Linked DNA regions of Caenorhabditis elegans. The protein of the gene in region 1 purifies or fractionates together with the protein of each later gene. This does not show direct contact. Each region holds a gene or a part of one and is shown in the gene's direction. Other genes may lie near its edges. The genes, in order: utx-1, pis-1, wdr-5.1 and set-16.

What was found.
Region 2: the proteins of utx-1 (region 1) and pis-1 purify together in Caenorhabditis elegans (affinity purification with mass spectrometry, with the first as the bait; one study listed by BioGRID). This does not show direct contact.
Region 3: the proteins of utx-1 (region 1) and wdr-5.1 purify together in Caenorhabditis elegans (affinity purification with western blotting; one study listed by BioGRID). This does not show direct contact.
Region 4: the proteins of utx-1 (region 1) and set-16 purify together in Caenorhabditis elegans (affinity purification with mass spectrometry, with the first as the bait; one study listed by BioGRID). This does not show direct contact.

What each region holds. Positions count from the first base shown.
Region 1 is NC_003284.9:8,555,193-8,563,245, forward strand, and holds utx-1 (JmjC domain-containing protein), read left to right. Parts: upstream 1-1,958; 5' UTR 1,959-1,987; coding exon 1,988-2,053; intron 2,054-2,105; coding exon 2,106-2,182; intron 2,183-2,235; coding exon 2,236-2,562; intron 2,563-2,611; coding exon 2,612-2,732; intron 2,733-3,064; coding exon 3,065-3,205; intron 3,206-3,259; coding exon 3,260-3,532; intron 3,533-3,648; coding exon 3,649-3,768; intron 3,769-3,912; coding exon 3,913-4,045; intron 4,046-4,736; coding exon 4,737-4,921; intron 4,922-4,968; coding exon 4,969-5,193; intron 5,194-5,621; coding exon 5,622-6,494; intron 6,495-6,549; coding exon 6,550-7,139; intron 7,140-7,187; coding exon 7,188-7,376; intron 7,377-7,560; coding exon 7,561-7,681; 3' UTR 7,682-8,043; downstream 8,044-8,053. Other genes in the region: dhhc-14 (Palmitoyltransferase), read left to right, coding at 14-114, 533-703.
Region 2 is NC_003282.8:9,791,354-9,798,605, reverse strand, and holds pis-1 (PAX-interacting protein 1), read left to right. Parts: upstream 1-2,013; 5' UTR 2,014-2,016; coding exon 2,017-2,190; intron 2,191-2,247; coding exon 2,248-2,308; intron 2,309-2,354; coding exon 2,355-2,459; intron 2,460-2,507; coding exon 2,508-2,662; intron 2,663-2,706; coding exon 2,707-3,019; intron 3,020-3,086; coding exon 3,087-3,446; intron 3,447-3,504; coding exon 3,505-3,654; intron 3,655-3,889; coding exon 3,890-4,218; intron 4,219-4,273; coding exon 4,274-4,516; intron 4,517-4,566; coding exon 4,567-4,688; intron 4,689-4,817; coding exon 4,818-5,032; intron 5,033-5,084; coding exon 5,085-5,570; intron 5,571-5,625; coding exon 5,626-5,841; intron 5,842-6,161; coding exon 6,162-6,251; intron 6,252-6,300; coding exon 6,301-6,512; 3' UTR 6,513-6,669; downstream 6,670-7,252. Other genes in the region: T13F2.2 (Putative RNA polymerase II transcriptional coactivator), read left to right, coding at 1,254-1,334, 1,380-1,481, 1,525-1,614, 1,661-1,762; T13F2.4 (FTH domain-containing protein), read right to left, coding at 6,689-6,911.
Region 3 is NC_003281.10:3,703,126-3,707,284, forward strand, and holds wdr-5.1 (WD repeat-containing protein wdr-5.1), read left to right. Parts: upstream 1-2,159; 5' UTR 2,160-2,161; coding exon 2,162-2,275; intron 2,276-2,338; coding exon 2,339-2,596; intron 2,597-2,642; coding exon 2,643-3,300; intron 3,301-3,351; coding exon 3,352-3,452; 3' UTR 3,453-3,659; downstream 3,660-4,159. Other genes in the region: C14B1.3 (F-box domain-containing protein), read left to right, coding at 531-595, 647-914, 963-1,090, 1,138-1,831; dph-1 (2-(3-amino-3-carboxypropyl)histidine synthase subunit 1), read left to right, coding at 3,762-3,842. UniProt on the Caenorhabditis elegans protein: Contributes to histone modification. May position the N-terminus of histone H3 for efficient trimethylation at 'Lys-4'. Required for di- and trimethylation, particularly for the trimethylation at 'Lys-4' of histone H3.
Region 4 is NC_003281.10:13,641,997-13,647,059, forward strand, and holds the start of set-16 (PHD-type domain-containing protein), read left to right. Parts: upstream 1-1,919; 5' UTR 1,920-1,984; coding exon 1,985-1,990; intron 1,991-2,042; coding exon 2,043-2,144; intron 2,145-2,199; coding exon 2,200-2,276; intron 2,277-2,338; coding exon 2,339-2,779; intron 2,780-3,796; coding exon 3,797-4,442; intron 4,443-4,647; coding exon 4,648-4,761; intron 4,762-5,063. Other genes in the region: T12D8.10 (BolA family protein), read right to left, coding at 122-219, 269-331; drr-2 (RRM domain-containing protein), read right to left, coding at 769-1,088, 1,145-1,343, 1,387-1,470, 1,522-1,542.

The sequences.
Region 1 (8,053 bases):
TTTATTTTTACAGAAGAATTCCTGGAAACTGACGCGTTCTTGATGATCACCATCATTCTCTCGGCGATGCACGCACTCATGCTTGCCGTGCTGTTCTGTGTTCAAATGAACCAGGTAAATATTTCATGAATCAGGCAAATATTTTTCCTATTAGTATTGTATGCAATACTATTTTTGATAGTTTAAATTTAGTTCGAGATTACCTATTTTCAAATGAAACAGCTATTGTGTTAGGTGACGATTTAAAAAAAGTTGTTAAAAATAAATTAATTATTGACGTTTTTTTTGTTAATTGGTTGTTAGGAGTTTTATTATACATAGAAGACAATTGAACTGCAAATAATGAAAATCTTTGAAATTGGCATTTCCAACAAAATTAGGATTGCTAGAGACTTGAACACAAATTTTCGTGGACACATTTAAATGCGTTATTGATAGCAACAGCCACATTACTAATAGAGAACATTCGGTAATTCAATTTTAGAAATTATTCATTCTTGTTACAAAAAATTAAATACAATAATTATTATAGATCTCGCAAGGAGTGACGACCAACGATCGTATCAAAGCTCGCCGAGCTGGTCATGCCCATTCTCACTCCGGCTCCACTGACTACAATGTTATTCATCACAAGCCAAGCATCTCGAAACGGTGTCATAATCTTCTGGAATTCTTTTCCTCTAACGGCGATCCAAACTGGTGAAAATACAAATTCGGATTTTATCTTCATCGGACCTGAAAAACTTGCCCTGCTCCCCGGATTTTTCAAACTTGAGAATCAAAACTTTTCTATGGCATAACAAATCTATCAATAAAAAACAAAATACTTGTAAATGTGAATCAGAAACCTAAATTTAAATTTCATCCCCGCCCATTCCCCCATTCACAATCTACTCTTTTTCATTTTCTTTCAGTTTTACATGAGATACTTCACTTGTATAATTTGGTTGTGAAAAGATTTTAAATGCTCTCTATCTCCCTTTTTCCCTCTTTCATTTCCTTTTTTGTTAAACTTTTTGTACATTCCGGTTAGAATCAAGTGCTTGGAGATATTTGAAGTTTTCCATCAGTTTTCTTACTTTGCTCTTCTCTCTTGCGTATTTCCGAGATCTCTTTTTCTTTACTGTTTTCCTAGATGTAAATAAATTTTCTTGAAATTAAACAAGAACTCAGTTTGTGTTGTCCAAAATCTTGGATTGTAACTTTTTTTTCCAGCGGTCTTCCTGTTGTTAATCTCAAAAAGCTCAGGTTTTAAAGTAATAACTTCTACAACAAGATCCACAATAATGTACTGGTTGCTCTCAAACAAAGTGGATCAAAAACTTAATGTGAAAAAGACATTTCAAAAAACTATAAAGATACCAAAGTTCTATTACTATTGGCAATATTGTTCAAGATTTGTGTTAGTTTTTTATTTACATATTTTTGAAGAATAAAGCAGAGTAGCTTGACAATATTCTTAGCATGGAATTTTTCATAACTCATGTTCTCTCGATTTTACAAATTTCTGAATGAGATTCAGTTCCACTTTGTGCGGTATTGCGAAATCTGCATATATTCACCCTTTCCACAAATTGCCCCCTGACGACCCCAATCCATACTTGCGCACACCATCGACCCACTCCTTGTCCGCCCAAGCGTTTCTAACCGTCTGCGCGTCCGTATACCGAGCACTACCTCTCCATTTCCCCCTCCACCATTCGCCAAACAGGCACAGTAGAGACGGGCTGCGAACGCACGGCAATGGCAACGATACTCCGTTTCTAACGTTGATCTTTGTTTAATAAACCATACTATTTGAATTAAGACACAGTATTGACCAGTTCACAGTGCTCTAATTGATTTTTTGTGCTTATTTTCTTTGTCAAAACTTGATTAAGATTTCTCCAAGTTATGTTTCCTACAATTCTCTTATGTGTATGTATTTTATTATTACTAAATCGCTGCAGTTTTTCCAGATTTGTATAATTCCCAAAAAGTCTTGTGCATGAACACCGTATCGCTTCTCACACCGCCAATGGACGAATCAGAACCTCTGCCGGAGGAGCGTCATGTAAGGATTACTTGTTTTTAGTGCGCAAAAGTTAAATTTTCTCATTTTTCAGCCTGGAAACTTTAAAAAATGGCTGGAACTGCCCCTTCTGACAAATTATGAACTGGAAAGGATTCGCACATTAAGCAGGTTGAAAAATTGTCACAAGATTGCAATAAAGTAAATATTTTTTTAATTTTCAGTTTATCATTCGACGAGTTTCACGTTCAAAACCCAGCCGATCTCACTTATCAAGTCAGATTGTTCTTTGCAAAAGCCCGCCAATACCTTGTCAGATATGTGGATGAGATGAAGAGCATTTATAAAACGCACAAGTACAAGACAATCGAACGGCGCATTTTCTACGGATTGGCGAAACAGTGTCACGTTGTTCTTTTGGCAAATGATTGGACCGGAGCACTGGAGCTTTATCAAGAAGTGTTGAGCCATCATCCTGACCTATTCTCACATGATCCTTCGATGTACTTCGGGTTAGGTCTTGTCTACTTGCATTTCAAACAGTGGAAACCGTGAGTTTTTGTTTTTTTGTTGTGAATAATCTGAAACAAAATCTTCTAGTGCAATCGAGGCATTCACAAGACTGCTATATAGTTTTCCAACCGGTATGATCGCATTGCAAGCAAAAGTTCGTCTTGGAGTGTGTTACATGGAACTTGAAGATTACAACAGATGCATAAATGTAAGTATTAAGAAAACGATCTGAAAAAGTTATAAGTTGAGACATAAAAAAAACAAGTTTTAATTGCATTCAATGCGTTATTAAAATTTGTAGTGTTTCTACAATCTTTCTTAATTAAACTTTTGGTAAGTCTTACCATCAGCTTTCTCGAGCAAACTGGCAGTTTTCCCACAACTAGTTGTGGAAAATTAGCTAGATACTCTACAAAGCTAGATCAAAAGACCGAGAATACGCATGCTTTTGCAATAAAAAGCTATACTCCAGAAACTTTACAATGCGTAAAATTTCGTAAAATCTTTTCAGTTATTTAATAAACTTATTATATTTTACAGCTGTTCAAACTTGCCGTCAACGACAGTGATGAGTCAGTATTTATGCCGAAATTCACAATTAAGTACAACATTGCTCTGAGCCACGAGAATAATGATGAGCTTGAAATTGCAGAATCAGAATATGAAAACCTAATAACTGAAGTGAGTAGTATCACCAAACAATGTTAAAAACAAAAAAAAATCGAATAATTTCAGTTAACACAACACATCAGTTTCTTACAAAGCAAGTCGAATGTGGATCAACAACAAGTTGACTTATTGATAAGTGTGAAAGCAGCATGTTTGCGACAAATTGGCTGGATTTCATATCGCCGCTCTTATAAAGACGATGCAAATCGTCTGGATCATTTGAAGAAGGCCCAAGAGAATCTCATTAGTGCACATGATACAGATCCACGAGATGGACAAAGCTACTACTATCTGGGACGAGTCTACGGGGAACACGAGCCTAGTGTTAGTGGACAAGTGGTTTGTGTTCATTTTGTTCCTTAACAATCTTAAAAAATAACTTGTTTTATTTCTATTAACCTCTAATTTTCAAAAAAAAACGTTAGGAAAATAATTTAATTCTTCCTGAATTTAAGGCACACGATGCGTTTGTCAACTACCGGTTTTCGATTGACAAAAAAGAGCAGAATGCGGACACGTGGTGCTCAATTGGAGCTCTGTATCAGCGACAAAATCAACCCATTGATGCTCTTCAGGTATGTTCAGGAATCAAAATTAGAGTTTTTGGAAACAATGTGCACAGTGTGCAAGATCAGAGCAATTCTCAAAACAATGGCGTATGCCCACCCCAATCTTTCCAATAAATGCCTCCAATTTTTAATATATTGAACACGTTTTAGGCATTCATATGTGCAATTGAGCTGAATTCAACACATTCTGCGGCATGGACAGATCTCGGAGAGCTTTATGAGAAAAATGCCCAGTACCAAGATGCGCTGGAGTGTTTCAAAAATGCAATGCTGAACAATCCAGGTATGTTGATGGTTTCCTGAAAGAAAAAGTAGAAGAATATAAATAAATTATAACTTTTCTGGAAAAACCAAATTGAAATTTCTATCAAAAAATGTTGTGAATGAATCAGTTTCAATATGATTTTCTTCATTTCTTATCAGCCAATGATACTTGCCTGTCTATAGTAGAATGGGTGTCGCTAAATTTGCTATCGCCAAACATTGAATGTAAACTTAAACGAAAATATAAGAGAAATGAAAGGATATAACAGAAGCACAACTAATCTGCTTAATCTCTAGTCACCAGATAAAATTTCCACGTGATTGGAAAATATATTTAAAGGAAGTATGACAACATTTATGACAACGACTGAAAAATGTTTAAGAAAAAAACCAAGTTGTTTCAATTGTAATGGTCTTTTCTAAGAAAGCTCTGATAACAAACAACATTCATTTTGAAATTAGCAATACACACTGTAAGTGTTTCCAAGTTGAAAATGTTTAATAAAATAGAAGACGTGACAAATGAAACGCAGTATCCATTAAAAAGAGAAACAATATATTTCATTGCAGTTTTGAGTTTTTCAAGTTTTAGGAAGGTGAGCTTGTAAATGTAGGTTAAATGTAAAGCTAGAGGCTGTTTTGAGTGAGTAGTAGTAATTAACGATTTCAGATTTTTTAAAGAACAAACTAATGTTATCATGACATTTCAGTTGCTCCGGAACCAATCAAAGCTCGTGTACAATTTCTTGAAAAAGAACTCTCGATGCCTGTGCCCGCACGTCCCTCAAATCACGCCTCGTCATCAACATTTGAAACCGTGATACCTTCATTGAAAGAAGCTTATGAGCAGCCAATACCTCTAGAGCTTCGTAATCGTCAAGACGCTGCCTATGCTGTAAGTGATTGTTGTCATGTGCGTTTTTTTGAAACCACAATTTTTAGGACAGAGAAGCTCAGTATGACAACGCGTTTTGGGATCTTTGGGAAGATTTCAGAACAATGGAGCATGAAAAGCCGGAAGATATGGAATGGGATGTAACGTATCCAAGGCCAATGGAAGATCTCGAAATCCAGGTTATGCAGTTGCTTCGTGCCAACGAACCAGCTTTAGTAAAAGCTGAGAGAGAAGTTCTTGAGTGTTTGGAAACCAGCGAGGCAGTGTTTAAGGTAATAAGAGCTCAAATAGCTGACAAACACAGGCCAGTGAAAAATGCGAGCAAAAAAGGCCAAACACGGCTTAGAAGTCATACTCTTTTCATTAGTGTATGATAGCTATACATTTATGCCAGTACATCAAGGGAAGTGATGATGCAGTTGCTGCCAGGGCGGCCGCCAGTGTTGCTTCTAACATTAAAAAAGGAAAAAAACGAGAGAATTTCATAGCGTATCTGTTGCACAAATCTCTTGAGTAGACGCAATGAGCCTAATTATAAAGCTTTTCTATGTTCTATTGTCGCATGTAAAATATATTCTGAATAACTGAAGCGTGATCAGAACTGAAAGTTAAAGTTGTGACTCACTTTTTCTGTAATCTGAAACATTTGAAAACCATAGGGATTATTAAATGGTTTATTGAAAAACATTAAATTTTTCAGGCAAAAGTTATTGAATACGTAATTCCGGAAGCCGTTCGTGAAATGCCACGTGTCACCGAGGAAATGATCCAAAACCTTCGCGACCATGGGCATCTACTTGAATCGCCGAGATGCTACAGCTTCCCATTCTTACCGAAAATTTCGTTTAATGACCTTCCGGATAGTTTCAGTTTGCTCTCGGAGCTCTATGTTTCAATGGATATCAGCGCTCAGGAAATTATGCAAATGGTTCATAGAAGAACTCAGCCAAACTCCACATACCTACCAGTGTTTGAAGAATTTGCGAAGTTACCCGAGCCACCACGAGGTCCCGTAAAGCCAATTGTAACAGATGAAGATGTACGCACGGCGCTAGAAAGGAGTGAAAAGCATCCATTAATTCTTAAAACCCCAATTCTTACGGTGGACAATAGGAAGGAAGCTCAAAGTCTGGAATTACAACGGTTTTTGGATGGGTCTACTATTTCTTGTATTCGTGGACTTACTGGTTGCCTTCGCCTCGATTTGTCGCTATTCTCCACGAAAGCAGTGGCAGAAATTGACGGAAACCAAGAAATTGAAATCCGAACTCAGTATCAACTACCACCAGAAACGAACTGTGATCATGCAAGTCAACAGACATGGCAATGTGTCAGTGATCCCTCGTACACAACAGTCAACAAGTATGCCGAGTATCAATCGGAATCGTTCAAGCACACGCTAAAGGGTGAAGCTGAGAAAATCAAGAAAAATGTGGGAGGAACACGTGGACCTTCTCCTAAAAGAATGAAATTGTATAAGCGAGCCAGCTCTCCACCGAAACATCTGAAGTCTATTAAATATGGAACTAATATTGATTTATCTGATGACACTAAATGGGGAAAACAGATCAACGTAAGTTTTTTTATTGCTCCATATTTTAAAACCAAACACAACTGCCGTTTTTCAGGAACTTTCTAAACTTCCTGCTTTTTGTCGCCTCATCGCCGGCTCAAACATGCTCTCCCACTTGGGGCACCAAGTTCACGGCATGAATACTGTTAAGCTTTTCATGAAAGTTCCTGGCTGCAGAACACCAGCTCATCAGGATAGCAATCACATGGCTTCCATCAACATAAACATTGGTCCCGGTGACTGTGAATGGTTTGCCGTTCCATACGAGTATTGGGGAAAGATGCATAAGTTGTGCGAGAAGAATGGCGTTGATCTTTTGACTGGAACATTTTGGCCTATTATCGATGACTTATTAGATGCAGGAATTCCAGTGCACCGTTTCACACAGAAGGCTGGAGACATGGTATATGTGAGTGGCGGAGCCATTCATTGGGTACAAGCTTCGGGATGGTGCAACAACATTTCTTGGAATGTGGCGCCACTCAACTTTCAACAGTTGAGCATCTCTTTGCTCAGCTACGAATACAACAAGCTGCGCCGATTTAAGAGTGAAGTTCCAATGCAATTAATGTGCTGGCAAGTAGCAAAGAATGTCAAGTTTACCAACCAGCTCATCTACAATACTTGCAAAGGTGTATTGATTAGGTGAGTAGCCTAAGAAGAACAATCAAGTTTGTAATAACTTTATTTCAGATCACTTGCATTCCTGAGAATGGTTGCCGATTATATCGTGTCTCAGAAGAAAACCATAAAAGCTCATACTCGAACAAGTGGAGAACAATCCCATTTCTGTATGACGTGCGAGTGTGAAGTGTTTTGTATTTTGTTCGTGAAGGATATTGGCGGAAAGTTTACAGTCTTCTGTGTATACTGTGCTAAATCGTAAGTTTTCAAAATTTTTGAACGTTTTGGGCTTAGAAATGGTTATTTTTTATGCCTAAAAATACAAAAACATTCAACACGTGATTCTGTATATTTTTGAAAAGTTACTTTTAAAAAATACACAAGTACTTGCGGAACCTCACTCAGAATTATAGTGGTTCGAAAAGAAAATGTGATTTTTCAGGCAAGGAATCGAAGGCTTCATAGCTCTTCAGCAGTTCTCGTTCACCGACTTGTACTCAATCTACGACAACATGAAATATATACCCGCAGCTAACAACAATAAGATGAGTTTCACTGCCTAGAAAGTTCTAGTTAGGACGTTTTAATCATTGCATATTTTATTTCACAAACCTGTTCCACTTGATGTGCCTCTCTCCCTCACCCCAAACATTTCCCCGTTTCAATTTTTGGCGAAAGCTCAAAAGGTCTCGTTCACTTATCTCAATCTTCTCAATTAGTTCATTTGTGTCCCTCTTTCGATACACTTCCAAAACTGTGAAAACCCAAATTTTAAACTATTTCCTCAATTTATCTGATCTCCTGTTTATTGTTGAACTTTTTTTTCAAACTGACTGCCATGTTTTACAAAACGTGGGATTGTTAGCTCATGGATTGTTTTTTTATTTCGAGCTTTAATTTTTTCTAAATAAACTGTTGTTTTGATAAACGGAAGT
Region 2 (7,252 bases), on another chromosome or scaffold:
ATGAGACGAAGAAATGAGTTTTTGAGAGATGAAAAAGAAGAAAAGTGCGCTCTTCGTGTTAAAAATGAAGGATGAAAATTGGAAAATTAGATTTTAGCTAAATTCGATTTGACAAATAAGACGTGCACTTTGGCTCGCATCCGGGCTCAAAATACTTCCAAAAAATTGAAGAAACATGTTGAAATCAAGAAAAACGTTGAACATTTGTTACATCTCGTTTCCAAACGTTTGTTCATTGAAGTGATGTGCATTATAAGTTTACAGCGTTATCATTTTTAGACGCATAATCAAAAGTTGTGAACAAAAAAATTAAACTGATAAATAAAATTGAAGTGGTAAAAAGGTACTAGGATTGATGTATGAAAACTCTATGAAAAACTGGGTGAAAACCACACGAAGGTCACCTTTTCGGTGTGATCGGGCGATAGATTTTGCAAAAAAAAGTTCCGAATCGAGAGAAGAGATGGGAGAAATCGATGAAAATGTGGAAAGTTTTTTACAGAACCACATCACAATGGGATGATTTTTGAAAAACAGAACAAAGAACATGTTTCCAAACTGTAGAAAACATTAGGTCGAAATTAATGGATCTGGAAATTATTATGAACCTATAATCATGGTCTTAGGACGGAAGAATTTAGAGAATTAAACAATTTTTGAACAGAAACTTTGATAATTTGTATTTTGAGGTATCATTTCGGGCGAGCCAGTTTCCGTGATTTACGCAAGAAATGGTTTTTATTTTCCGCATAATTACCATCTAAAATGCATGTTGATAAGACGATTATAATGATAAGGCGGTCAAACTATGAGAGCAATTAATTTGATGGTGTCGCGAGGAAACAATCATTTGGCGCGTTCATATTGTTTTTGAAATGCATGAATTTGACGAGTTAACCACAGAAGACACAATATATATGATAATTCTACAATTATGTACACAATTTCCAAATAAGAAAAAAAACAAATTGGGAAACAAAAAATCCGGCTGAAAAATTAAAAAAAAAGGCTGCTGGCCGAACACTCATCAAATATGGCCTAGAAGTCTCCTTTGTGAAAGTTCTAGGCCAAGGCGTTTGTTCGAACAATTTTAAATTTATTTTTAATTGAAAACACTTTTTATTTTATTATAAGGTAGTATAACTTCATTTTTCTATTATATTCAGCCTATAACTTTGTTTCATCAAATATTAAACTACCCGCACACAGTCTAATGACACGTCGCCGCTCAAAAAATCGATATATTTACAGACATGTCGTCCTCCTCTTCATCTGAAGATGAACTTGAAAAGAAAGTGACTAAAGAACAGAAGAAGAAGGAAACCAAGTCAAAGGTGGTCTTGTTTTGAATTTGAGTTTGAAATATTGTCAATTTTCAGAAAAGGCAGTCAGAAGCCGTTGAAGAAGAGAAACAAGAAGTAAAGAAAGCTAAGAATGAGGAGGAAGTGTCTGGACGATTGAAAGACAGCGATGGAAATGAGGTAATTATTTTATTATTTATAAATGTTAAATAAATTGTTTCAGATGTTTGAGATCGGAAATCTTAGATACGCGACCGTCAGCAAGTTCAAGGGAAAGGAATATGTCAACATCAGAGAATATTACATTGACAGAGTAATTTGAAGTGGTAAAAGGCAAATCAATGCTTTGTTCTTTTCAGGATTCTCAGAAAATGATGCCAAGTCGCAAAGGAATCTCGTTGAGCAAAGCACAATGGGCAAATTTGAAAGATCTCATTCCAGAGATTGACAAGAAATTCTAATTTCCAACTTCAATTATTACATTTTGCTCCTCCGAATGATACTTACATTTCCATTACCAGAGTAATTTCCCACCGGTTTCATTTTGTTTTGTTGTTAAATGTTGTTTAGTTATTTTGAAAACCATGCTGACCCGAATGAAAATGTTTCGTCTCATCGCCAATTATTTGATTTTTCAAGAGAAAGTTGACAATGCTTTTAAATATCTATCATTTCCCTTTCTGATATCATATATCATCTAATACAATTTTAGGAGATGGCGGACCCGTTGAGTAAGGAGGAAGACATTCAACATCGTCCCGATTCTCCTCCCTTGGGTCTTTTGGATCCATCACGAATCCAAAATCCTCTTGCCAACGATCAACTTCATCAAGTGCCACAACAACAAAATCCGTCGGGATTTGTAATGCCCGAACAACCAAGACAACAGGTTTTGATTCATTTTAATTTTTCTGTTTCTATCAAAATTACAAATTTATTTTTTCAGCCACCGCCACAAACATGGCAGCGAACACCCACGATGAGCCCAGCCAATATATTCCAAGGAGGTGAGAACACACATTTTAAAAGTAAAAATGTCTAATTTCCTGTCAGATTCAGGATCAGGCACACCTGGAAGTCAGCGGAGTTCCACTGGAACACCGAACCATCAAATGGGCAATCCCCCACAACATCAACAACAACAATTCTTTCATGGAGGTCGGTTTTTGTGTTTATGAATATTTTAAATGAATTTTTATCTCCTAGAAAGTCCCGCACATTCGCAAGGAACTCCGATGACACCGCAAAGTGCTGGTATGCCTGGCTCAAATTGTGGGACCCCTCAGAGCGCCGGTGGTCCACCGACTTCCGTTCCGTACGATTATCAGCAAGCACAGATGCAACAGCAACAACATGCTCAGGTAGATTTTAATTAAGTTTTAATTTTAAAATTAATTTTTTCCAGGCAATGGCAGCGGCAGCAGCGGCTCAACAACAACAGCAACAACATCTTCAGCAACAACAATATGCCCAGAATCCGCAGCAAATGCACGATTCACCGTATCGGCAACATCAGATGATGCAAATGCATCAACATCCCGGACATCCATCGCAATATCCTCCGGGATATCCGCAACAGCAGGCGGCTCAGTGGCAGCAGCAAATGTATGCAAGGCAAGCTGCAGCACAAGCTCAGGCTCAAGCCCAAGCTCAGGCGCAAGCTCAAGCCCAACAAAGAGCGGCAGCACAGAGAGTTCCAGTACCGTATCCGCCAGGAGGTGAGTGAATTGTGTATTTTGTCTACTAATTTAAAACAATAAAAAGAAATGAAATAGTAGTTTTTAGCCTATCCACCTGGAATGCCTGGACCAATGACGCCTGGATATCCTGCACAAGCGCCCGCTGCTCCTCGAACGACCCCGGGCTCTGCCGGACCTGGAACAGGACCTCCAGGGACTCCACAACGTCCACAGTACCCTCAAGGAACAAATCCACAGCCACAACAAGCGCAGTTCACCTATCCACCTACACAACAGATGACACCTACTGGGCAGCCTCCCGGGTATCCCGGCATGCCTGGAACCCCTACATTCTCGTCTCCAGCTCATCAAATGTTTCGACAGGGTCAGCCAACTGCTCCACCAGGAATGCGACAGTACATTTCGCCTCAGGCAGGACAACAGCAACCGACCCCTGGAACTCCACGTATGATTGAAAACAAAAAGAATAACAATATTGCAAGTTTGTAAACTAAATACTTCAGATCGTTTTGCTCCGCCGGGCCCATCTGGTACTACATCGTCGCCGCATTTTGCTCCAGGAGCACCTGGTGCTGATTTGAGATCACCGTCATTGATGTCCCCAAATCAGCAATCTCAACAGCATACTCCCGTTTTACCGAGAAGCTTGCATAGTTTGTTTTATGATGTTCATTGAATATACATTCAGCATCAGAAGTGTACGGCATTTGGATAAAATACTGATAGCTAGCCTAAAACTCGGTTTACCCATCGTATACCATTTTAAACATAGGTACTTCCTAATCGATAGAAAACGTTGATTTTCTTCAAATGCAGAAACCACATACCGCACACCTCTTCAATTTTCTGTGAACAATTTTCTGTGAACAACATAAACCTTTTTTCCAGACGAAATGACATCTCATGGAATGCGTCCGATTGCTCTTCCATCCCAACCACTTCCACAAACCCAAGGAACACCTCAACCGATTCTTTCTGCATCATCACTTCCGCCTCAATCAGCTGGAGCCACACAGTTTGTGTATCGTCCACAACAGCCGAATCAAATGAATACAATGAACCAAATGAATCAAATGCATCACGATGTGAACCCATTCCCGATACAAATGAATGTTGATCCAGAACTTTATTTAACTGGTATTCACTTTCATTGCTTCGATTCGGAAAAGTTGTTTGAGGACAAACTCGATCGTAAGAATTTGGAATTTATGATTAAAGTAAGCTACAAATTATTATTATTTAATCATCATTCTATAAATTGTAAATTTTCAGTATCACGGAGGGGACATTGAATTTGAGGCTTCAAAATTCCATGAAAGAATCCATCAAATCACGCATGTCTTAGTTGATTCCTGTCGTAATACAAATGTTATGACATCATTGGAACATCGAAAGCGAATTGTCTCCATCCAATGGATTATTGATGTAATGGAACGAGAAAGAGTTGAATTACCTTGGAGAATTGCTCATTTACCACCACCGTTCAATGAAAATTTCAGACCATATCTCGGAAAGGTACAATTCTTGCTTTAAGGTTTAAAATATCTCATAACCAATGTTTTCAGCTTTTTTCATTGTCCGGCTTTGACAGTTCCGAACGTGCCGCAATTTCTTTTATGGCTGAAATGATGGGCGCAAAGATTACACCATTCTTAGCCAGGCAAAATGATTTATTAATTGCCAAACAGTAAGTTTACAATTACTGTAAGTTTTACAATTAGATGCCAGTTATCGCATAACATGTTTACTTTTACCCGATCGCACCGTATAGTTAAAACACTCCCTAGTAAGATCATTTTTAATTCGTAAAGTTTAGGCCAGCTGACAAAGTTACAAGAGCTCAAGAATGGAAAGTTCCTGTTGTAAATTTTCAATGGATTGCTGATGCTTATGTGTGCGACGAGGCGTCACCACAGAAAAGGCCAAATGTGGAGAATCCGAGATACCAATTAGAAAATCCAGTGATGACAAACGTTAATACTTCTCCAAATCACATTGAAGGCGCAAGTCAGGAGTTTGGTGCTATGATGTGTAAGTCCATTGTTAGAAACTAGATAAATAGTTCATATTTATTATTGTTCAGCTTGCTGGAAATCACAGACTATAATTGCGGACCAAGCTTACGAGAAAGCCCGACAAAATCGTAAAACGCTTCAAAACAACACATTCTTCTTCCCATCAAAGCGACTATCAGATCAAGCAGTTGCACCAACCGAAGACGAAATTAAAAGCTCCCGAGCTCGCCTAGATGAAATCAAAACTCACTGGGAAGAGCATCAAGAGAAAATGAAGGATACACCGTTAAGCAAAGAATTCTACCGAGTACGTGAACCACAAGCTCGAGTTTCAGCATGGTTTGGAGAAGGAATTGATGATGAGGCGTTGACGATTTTGAAGAAAAAACTCGAATTTCTTGGAGGAGAATGTGTTGAGAAAATTCGTGATGCGACTCATGTTATTTTGATTTCTGGACGGAGAAGTCTGGTTCTTCTTGAATCCATAATTCGAGGGAAAAATATAATGGATCCAGAATGGATTGTTGATAGTTATAAACAAAAAATGTGGCTGGGTGAGTTCTCAACACATTTTTTATAAATATAAATATATATATATGATTATTTCAGATACATTGGATTATTTCTTACACGATAAAGAACTCGAAAAAGAATTTGCATACAATTGCAAGAGAAGTGTGCTCAGAGCAAGGAATAAACCAGTTTTTGAAGATATCGAATTTCATGTGACGCGATTTGTGGAACCGAACCAGAATGATTTAGTTCGATTAATCGAATTGGGAGGTGGAAATGTGCATTCAGAGAAACCTGATCCAAAATATCTAGGTGAATATGAAACATTTAAATGATTGAGAGCAATTGTGTCATGAAAAAAAATTCGATCTTGTTCGGGGAAATCAAAAATCGAAAGATTCATTTATGTTGATGAAAAAACAGAGAAAACATATGAAAGTAAAAGAAGAAAAATTACCAAAATTTTATACCCTTTTTCGAAAAAGCGTAATTTTGTTTTTGAAATATCGGTAAAACTAAAAACTAAAATCGAACAACGAAAATCTTCGATTAAAAAAATTAAATTAACAACCGACCTTGATTGGGAGCTGTTTTGTTTTGAGAAATATTTATTTTGTAAAAAAAATTTGCAGCGAAATGCGTCGAAACGGAACAGCCATTTATTATAATATCATGCGAAAACGACGCTCGCTTCTTGAGCTACTTGGCAGGTTCTAAATTACGTGAGTTTTCTTGCCAAATTAATTTCAATATTAAAATTCAAACTTTCAGCCATTTACAATGTGGACCTCGTATTGTTTGCAATGCTTCGGCAACAAATCGAACCTCTTCCACAATATCGAATCCCTATTCCAATTGTCGTGAAGACACCCGTATTCCGACAACCGCCACCGTACACAGCACCCCCTAAAGATCAAGAACCCGCAGCATCACTTGCTTCAGAGCCTACAAGAGCAGCAGATGTACTTTCAGAAAATAGCTAGCATTTTATTAATGGTACATTGATACTTGTATATTAAGTATTTAATTCAAATTTATTTGCACCTCCTCATCACTCAACGAATCTCATTATTTCCCATGTTCCATAGTTGATTTTTACAACATTTCTCAAAATTTTATGAATAAATATTTATATTTAAAAAAATCATATTTTATAATTCTAAAGAAAATAGGAGATCTCAATATTGTGCAATTTAAAATAAAAATTCTGAATGCCGGATGCCTTTGAGCAATTGAAATAAAAATTCAAAAACTGCAAGTTATCATTTATAATTTCTTTGATATTGTCCCTTTGAAACAAATAAGTATCATCAAAGGAAGAAGTTTGAAAAGTTGGAGGGATTTCATTATTGATGTTGAAGTATATTTCCATTTTTCTTGGGCTGAAAATATTATTATTTGAATTTATTTTTTTACTCTCGTCTTGACTTGAGAAACGGTTTTTCTTATAAGACCACCTTTTAATAGGTTTGAAAATTAATGTCTGAACTGTTAAAGTGCAAATCCTTTGATTTTGAACACCGTTAGAAAAATTGGAACTTTTTAATTGAAAGTGACAGTATGTTCTAGTTGCCAAACGTTTTTTTTAATGCTAAAATATTATCCATATGCGAAAATTTGTGATTTTCTCCCCAAAACTGGGCGCTTGGTCTCCAAGCGACCAATTTTGTTTTATTTAAAAGAGCATGAGCCTATGAGGAGTACTGTAGTTGGTAATTCTCTT
Region 3 (4,159 bases), on another chromosome or scaffold:
ACAGGTTCCTATTGCACGAGTATTTCTTCATAAACACGGTTATTCGTTTTTTTTTCCTTTTTAGAAACACAAATCTGAAGAACATGAATTGCTTGACCTTGGTATTGGCGGCGATAACCTAGAAAGTGGGACAAGTTATTTCTTGCTGTCCACGTATCTTTGGATAAGGAAGATCATCAATGTTTCGTAACCTGTAAAACTAAGAGAAGAGAAAGACAAATATATATCAACTAATCTAAAAAGTTGCAGTCAGCAAGATGAGGAAAAAAATAAAATATATAAAGAAGTTGAATATCTAGAGGTTCTCAATATTTTTGTCAGAAAGTTTTTTTCTCATTCTCAAAATAGCATTGAATATTTTCTTATTAATATTTTTGCTTTAAAATAATAATATTAACAGCGTGATAGTTTTTTGGAACACGAATATCACATGCATGCGCATTTCGCAAGACTTCCATTCTCTGCGTCTCTCTCCTTCTGACTCATTTCTTCTCTTTAAAATCGAAAAATATTGTTCTCATCGACCCCAAATGTTTAAAGCGTTCTCATCGATAATGCAAAGTCTACAGTTCAAAACCGATGTTCCAGTGATAATGTGAGTTTTTTCTTAATTAAAATATCAATTTTTCACCTAGAATTATTTCAGAGATGCAGAAACTGTGCCGAACGAATGTTTCTCGCCAATTTTCCGAAGGCTGGACAAAAAATCACTTCTAAACTGCCAATTGGCTTGCCATCGATTCAATGATTTGATATCAAGTGACTCGTTTTGGATTGAATATGCTCGAATTTTAAATATATCAAATGTTCTTCCATCTTTGGAGTGGAGAAGAGCAGCGACACAGAAGAAGTTTGTTGGAAATGAAGACAATGAAATTGACACTTCAAGTTTTAATTTTAATATTAAAAAAATAGTAGGTTATCGCATTTTATAGTAATAAAATTACAAAGTTTTACTTCAGGTTCTGTCTGGAAGAGGCTACTCACCAATCACTCCGCTTTTCATTTCTCATTTTGAAAATGCACGTGACAACACAATAAGTGGAACTCTCCGTTCAGATGATTTTTCAATCAGAGCGAATGGCAGTGGGTATGTCAATACTTTGTTCTTAAAATAATCAATATTTACAATTTCAGAATCCACATGGAAAGAGATGGAGGAAACGGTTGTGAACCACATCCGGATGTTTCCAAGTGCTTCGTATTTTCATTCACAGAGAGCTCAATCAGTGTTTTCATCGATTTGGTGAACTCTGGAATTGACCCATGGATCTTGGATCACGTTCGCCCGAGAATTAGAATTACACAGAAAGTCAATCATCGTAATGATTGTGCAGCCAGGCTCTCATTTGCTGCTCAGTTGAACTATCACGAGACTCAGTGGATTGAAAGATTTGGCCATGTACAAACTATGAGCAACACTGATCATAAAAGATATAAATCTGTAAATAAGGAATGGGCTCAATGGACTGGTCAACCTTGGGAAGATTGGACAATTGAGTTTGACGATTACCCGTCTGGAATTCGACATTTAACTATTCTGAATGAAGGTGAAGATAGACAATTTTGGAGAGGATTCTACGGACCAAAAGTTGCCAATATTCAAGTCGAAGTTATTCTGCCTGATGAGCCAATAGTTAAACCACTCGCTGTTGATTCCGAAAAATGCAATGAAGACGAGAATCCTAACGCTGAAGACGAGGATGATGACGATGATGAAGTACCGCCAAGAGTCGGAGTTTTTAGAATGCCACTCTTTCGTCGTGGTCGTCACATGTATGGAATTCCTCCCGCTGTGGCTCGTCATGAAGATGAAGACGAGGAAGATTAAATAATGCACCGACAATTTTTCGCTTAACTGTTTTATAAAGTGTTTGTATGACTGGAAAAGTTTGTTATATCTGTAATCGAATGAATATATAAATATTTTAACACGTATCAGACACGGATACATGTCATGACATGAGTTCATTAACGAAAAAAAAGAAATTCCGAAAAAAAAACTGCAAAAACATTGCGCGTCAAATTGTGTGTTCGCTGTGCATGCACCCTTGCCTCTGCGTACCGCACATTGCATCTTACGACGATTTCTATTTTATATTTTTTGAATGAATTTCTTCATTTTTCAACTTAATTTTTGATTTTTGCTGTGATTTCAGATATGGATACCAGCGAAAATGCTGCTTCAGCTGCCGAGCAACAGCCAACACAACAAATCGATCAATTAACAGTACCAAATGCTCCGGATGGAGGTTCTTCAGCTCCTGCTCCATCTGTAGGTTTCGTTATTGTTAAATAGTATATTTTTGAATAAGACTTCACAATAGTCAATTTCCAGACTTCTCCCAATTCAATTTCGCCATCAAATCCGACTGGCACACCCGCTCCAGGTGCCAGTGCCCAAACTCCCAATCCAAACGCCGCCGGAGCTTCAGCCTCGGGTTCAGCAAATTATAAGCTGATGTGTACATTGGAAGGACACACAAAATCGATTTCTTCAGCTAAATTTTCCCCATGTGGAAAGTATCTCGGAACAAGCAGCGCGGACAAAACCGTCAAAATCTGGAACATGGATCACATGATTTGTGAGCGAACTGTATGTTTCCGCTCATGAAAATTACAATTAATCCTTAAATTTTCAGCTCACCGGCCACAAACTGGGTGTAAACGATATAGCATGGAGTTCCGACAGCCGTTGTGTTGTCTCTGCTTCCGACGACAAAACACTGAAAATCTTCGAAATTGTAACGTCGAGAATGACCAAAACCTTGAAAGGACACAATAACTACGTCTTCTGCTGCAATTTCAACCCACAATCATCGCTCGTTGTCTCCGGATCATTCGATGAATCCGTTCGTATCTGGGATGTCAAGACAGGAATGTGCATAAAAACCCTCCCAGCACACTCAGATCCAGTGTCAGCAGTGTCTTTCAACAGAGACGGCAGCCTCATCGCATCGGGATCCTACGATGGTCTAGTTCGTATCTGGGACACTGCCAATGGGCAATGCATCAAGACTCTGGTCGACGACGAGAATCCTCCGGTGGCATTTGTAAAGTTCTCTCCAAACGGAAAATACATCCTCGCATCGAACCTCGACAGCACTTTGAAATTGTGGGATTTCTCGAAAGGAAAAACCCTGAAACAATACACTGGACACGAGAATAGCAAATATTGCATCTTCGCCAACTTCTCTGTTACCGGTGGAAAATGGATCATCAGTGGTTCCGAAGATTGTAAGATCTACATCTGGAATCTCCAGACTCGGGAAATAGTTCAATGTCTTGAAGGACACACACGTAAGTCGAAAAATAAAATAAAAATGCAAATTTAAATTTTTTCCATTTCAGAACCCGTGCTAGCCTCCGATTGTCATCCAGTTCAGAACATCATTGCCTCAGGAGCTCTCGAGCCAGACAACAAGATTCATATATGGCGCTCGGATGTTTAAATTGTTTAAATTTAATTAAAATTTCGAAAATTTGATTTATATTTACCCCTTGGTCACCGTGTATATATGCTTTTCCTTCTTGATCTCCTATATTCCTTGATTATAGAGGCGCGGTGGCCAGACACTTTTTTTTCTGAAACTTCGTATTTTCTGTCATTCCTTATATATTCTTCCTAATATAAAAATCCATAAATATTAATTTCCGTGGGATGATTGAGATGATCATTCAATTGATTCGTTTTATTTCGATATTCTATTTGATTTTCAGATTTAATTTTATTTTTCTGGATTGAGGCTGAAAATTTTAGAATGGCAACTCGGGCTACACAGATTTCGACGCTAGTTGAGGAAATTGCAAATAATCCCAATCTTAAAGAAGATCTGAAAATTGTAAGAAATCGCAGATTTTCTAAGTAAACGCCCCACCCCTGAACTATGGGTCTCTTTAGGTTAAGAAACCGAAAATCGAATTTTTCAATTATTCTTGCCCGATTTCAAAGCATTTTCAATTGGTTTTAATGATTTGATGTCAAAAAATAAATTTTTTCATAAATCTCGGCATAAAAATCATTAAAAACAACGAAAAATGCTTGAAAATCGGGGAAACTAACTGAAAACTTTTGAACATCCAGTTTTGCCGCCAAAAACCTAACGAGACCCATCGTTAGCCCGTTTCCACGTGGATTTCAAAAGGGTTTTTTTTCTGC
Region 4 (5,063 bases), on another chromosome or scaffold:
CTTTAGTGCAATCGTTGGGAAAACCAGCTCAGCTTGACTGTGACTTCCTTTAAATTCTTCCGTTTAAATTAATTTCCACGTACGTGGATCCACCCTAAGCTTTCAGCATTTTCAGGCTTACCGGTGAGATTGCAGCGTACACTTGCCCTCAAACGCCTCAGAGACGATGAGAAGCCGAAATTTGTATCCATCGCAGCCTCCGCTCTCGTCGACGACTTTCTGGAAGAAATTTTCGGTTTTTTTAATGAACAACATCAATAAAACTCACCAAAATCTGCGGCTTGATGGCTTCTGTGAGTAGCGCATTGACTCTTTCCACTGGTGATGCCATCTGTCGATTAAAATTTAATTTAGGAACTGAAAATTGAGCAGAAACGAAAATTGGAGAAAACCACACAAAAACCAGATTTTGAAAAAAAAAGTATAAAAATATTTTTTTATTGATTATTCATATATTTCGCATGTTTTTAGTGTATTTCTATAAAGAAAAATAAAGGAATAACTAGTAAAATCAACAGAACAACAAGTAGGTGGGGGAAAATATATGCTTTTGGGACTTTTTGGGGTTTAACAACAAACAAACTTTTTATGTGAAAGGATTCTGAGGTAATTTGTGATCATTAGACATTCAGAAGGGGTTGAAGAAATGGTTATACCAGCGGAACTTGACGGAAAGTGACGAGGGGACAAATTAGGGGATAGGCTCCTATGATTGCAGGATTTCGTGTCATTCGCGGATCGAAATTCAGGGAAAAATCGAAAAAAAGTTTATTGGAAAAGCTTCTCCTGGCGTCTCTTGGTCTCCTCTTCTTCTTGCTTCTTGCGAGCCTCGATCTCAGCGGCATCTGTGGTACGGGGCTTCAGGTTGAGACGTGGACGTTCTGCTGGCGGAGCTGATGGATCTGAAGTTTCCTCGGCTTTGTGTTGTTCTTCGCTCTCGCGACGTTGTCGGTATCCACCGCGATGTCCTCCGCCGCCAAATCCGCCACGACGCTCTCCTTCGTTGAAGCGGCCACCTTCACCGCCACGCCGGAAGCCTCCTGCTCCACGACCACGTCCTCCGCGATCTCCGAAGTTTCCTCCGCGTCCTGAGCAAAATTATTGTTAAAATGAGCGGAGAAAAATAAAATAATAACTGAAATACCTCCACGACCACCTCCGCGGTCACTGCGATCGCGCTGTTGGGCACGATTAACCTTGAGTACGCGATTTCCGAAATCGGCTCCATTAAGGCCACTGATAGCAGTATTCATCTGTTGTTCATTCTCAAAAGTGACATATGCGAATCCCTTGAAACTTCCAGAATCTCTGTCGTGCACAAGATGAATATCGAACTTTTTGAGCTGAAAAAACATTTATTAGAAATTTCCTGCTTTTCCGCAGTACCTCTTCATCTGTGAACTTGCAGTGCTTTAATATAGTTTCGATGTCAGTGGCGATGGAGTCATAGGGGAGCCCACCGATGAATGCCTGTAAAATTCGATATATTTAAAATGCCATTGCTTTGAAGTACCCACTAACCTTAAAAATCTCATCGGCCATTGCTTGAAAAGCTTCCCCAAGTGAGACGTCTTCTGAAATTCATTTAAGTCTTTAAAAACGCACACACGAAAGCTCGAAAATACATATTTGCAAATCAAATTATTTATTTAATTTTTTTCCAACTCTCAGTCCGCAATCTCGCGTGGCATTCGGTGTATTGGCACAGTGCCAGAGAGACGCAGTGCGGCAGAGATGCGTAGCCGCCCCGTTAACATGGCAAGGGGCTCTACGCAGCGCGTAGAGACGCAGACATGTAACGCTTGGCAAGATGCCAAACAAATCGATACGCCCTTTTCAACAGCCGTTAGAGGAGAATGGGCGGCAGTTTGAACGATTTTTATCTCATTTTCAGTGGAATAACTCATAATAATTATTTTAGAGTCAAATTCGTATCGATTGAAGCTTCAAAAATCGAGAAAGCCGACTATATGAAGTCCAAAAGATGATTGTAAGTGTTCACCGTTCAAAATTTTAACTATACATCAAAATTAAAATTCCAGTGCATCGAATGTGGCGGTACCGCGTTCAACAACACGGAACTATGTGAAAACTGCATGGATGTTAACCGTTCTGGCACGATGTCGTTGGATATGGCCCGTCAGGTAGGAAATTTTCGATTTTCCACTATTTTTTTTTCTAAAATCAGAAAATTTGCAGTGTGACATGTCGTCCAGCTGTGGATCGTGCCAAAGAATGATAACTGCAGATTCGAGGCAGTGCACAACTTGTCGGAAGTGAGATTTTGAATTTTCAATTGTTTTTCACCGGATTAAAATACATTTTTTTTGCTTTCCAGAAGCTACCATCTCTCCTGCGACTCTTCCGACGTCTCAAGCCTGAACAATTTCGTCTGCATATCCTGTCGTCGGCGAAGCCAAATGCTGCCGGACGACGTGATGCTTTCAGCCTCCGCACGCCCTTCTCGCGGACAAGACGCACCTCTTTCTCCATTCAGCGACCCCTCAGTTCCCCAGATTTCACTACAAATGCAACCGGCACCTCTGCCGTCCAGTTATCCTAGAAGTCAGGATTTCAACGGGGATGTGTACACCCAAATAGCCGCCATGCAGCAACAACGTCAGCAGCAGCAGCAAAATCAAGTTCAGCAGATGTTGGCCACACAGGCACAGCTTATGGATGAAATTAGCGATGGTGGTGGTACGAATGACAGCGATCGGAATAGTAGTCCATTTTATCAAGAGGCTTCCGACTACGATGAGGATTTCGTGCCTGCTAGGTATGCCGTAGATTAAAATTCCGTGAAATACGAAAATTCGTTTGAAAATCGAATTAAAGCCTTAAAGGAACACCGTAATACCTTGAAGGAAAGGATGCCCCACTAAAAGGGGAGCAGAACGAAAAGGGGAGCTGGCACTGTGCCAAACGCACAAAACGCCTTTTTCTCATTCAACGCACGTTGATTTTTGAAATTTTCTTATAGAAGATACGCTTAACAACACACGTAACATCGGAGCATCGTTGTATCGTTTCCTTCGAGAAAAATAGCGTTTGGCACAGTGCCAGATCCCCTTTTCGTTGCTCTCCTTTTCATATCTCTCCTTTTCGTTTTGCTCCCCTTTTCGTGGGGCCTCCTCAAGGGAAGCACACTTTTACTTGGGTCTCGCCACGACGAGAAATATATTACTGTAAATTTCAAATTTTCGCTGGTGTTCTTTGTTTTTTGGGTCACAAATATAGTTTTCTGGTAGTTTGGCACAAATAATTTTTTAAAAAGTAGTTTTTAACCTAGTAAATTAGAAAAATTCTGAACTTCAGAAAAATTTATCGATACATACCGTATTTCTCTTATTAGTATGACCTCCGTATCAGACTTGCACTCCCTATTAGTGTTGCACTTCATACCCCCTCTGAAAATTAGTATTGCACTCCCCAATAGTCTTGCATATACTTTTGTCCTGCAAATTGGCCTCACTAATTTTAAGATTTCAACTATATTTTATGTTTATTTTGCAATAATTTTTGACAAAGTTCTATGAAATTGGAATTATTGAACCTTTTTTATTGCAATTACAATCAAATTTTCTAAATTTCCAAATAAAATTGGAATTCTTTCATGTAAAAACTAGAAAGTCCCAACTCAGAAAAATGTTCTGAAAATTAGTATGGCACTTCCTAATAGTATTGCAAGCGGGGAGACCTTCGAAAAATATTGCAGCCATATTAATAGAAGAAATAAGGTATTTATAAAAACACTTTTGTTAAATTAAACTTTTGGAAAATTAATATTTTCCAGCACTCGCGGACGTGGACGTGGTGGAGGCGCCAAGAAAAAACCAGGCCGCGGAGGATCCACTGGTACTCGTCGACAAACGAATCCCGGCCCGTCGGGCTTCTTTTCCGCCACACAGCTTCAGGCGATGAGTGGTGATTTCTCCCACCTTCACCAACCGCAACAAACATCATCGACACGTGGAAAGAGGGGAAAACGAGGAAACGGCACGTCGGTGCCACGTCAGCCTGGCAAGGGACCGGGTCGTGGACGTGGCCGTGGGCGCGGTAGTGCAGCCGCCATTGCTCAGCTCGCCCAGCTTCAACAGGTGCAATACGGTGCTCAGGGAGCCCCAATGTTCAATGGTGCCCCACAGCTTCACCCAACCCAACCCACTGTTGCTCCTACTCTTCCACCCAGTGTTACCTATCAAAATGTTGCTCCAACTGCTCCTCCTGCTCCTCCTGCCCTTCAGACCCCTCTTCCCGATCCGCTGCCCTCAATTGTTCCGAGTTTCCAGCAGGCCCCACAGGCGGTCGCAATTCGAGAAGTCGACGAGCTGATGCTCGAGGATGAAAGCTCACGGCAGTCTGGCGGCTCAAGATCTGATGAGCCAGAGTATATTCGTACGGCTATTGTTTGCAGAGTCAATGACGAGTTTTTGCAAAAGGTAAGATTGAAATATGAGTGTCATAAAGGAAATTTAGCTGGAAAAACTATAAAAATTATTTTTTGTGATGAATATTGAGAATATAATTTTAATATCTTTGAAAATTTGAAATTTAGATTATTTTTTTTGAAAGAAGGTTTTGTCGGAAAGTTTTCCAAAAATTGACTGCTAAGCTCAAAAAATCAACGAATTCCCGGTTTTTCAGGCTTGTATGTGCTTAGTATGCGGATCGATTGGAAAAGGGCCCGAAGGATCGATGGTGGCATGCTCAAATTGTGCACAGACGTATCACACGTATTGTGTAACCCTACATGATAAGGTAGGCAGGCGGAATCCCAATTTCTAGACGGAAAATAGAGTTTTCACTTAAAAAAAACTTTTTTCAGTTTCGAGGCATTCTCAAATCTGATTTTTTTTTCTATAAATTTGATTTAATTTCTTTTTCGAAATCCCGGATTAAAAAATTTAGAGTAAACATTTTTTTTCAAAGTGTCTGTCATAGTGTCAATAGTTCACTAGTAAAATCTTTTTTTTCATAGTATCTGATATTATGCAACCAATTTGATGCAAAAAAAAAACAATTTTCTGAAACTATGGAAAAAAATCGTAAAAGTCTAATTT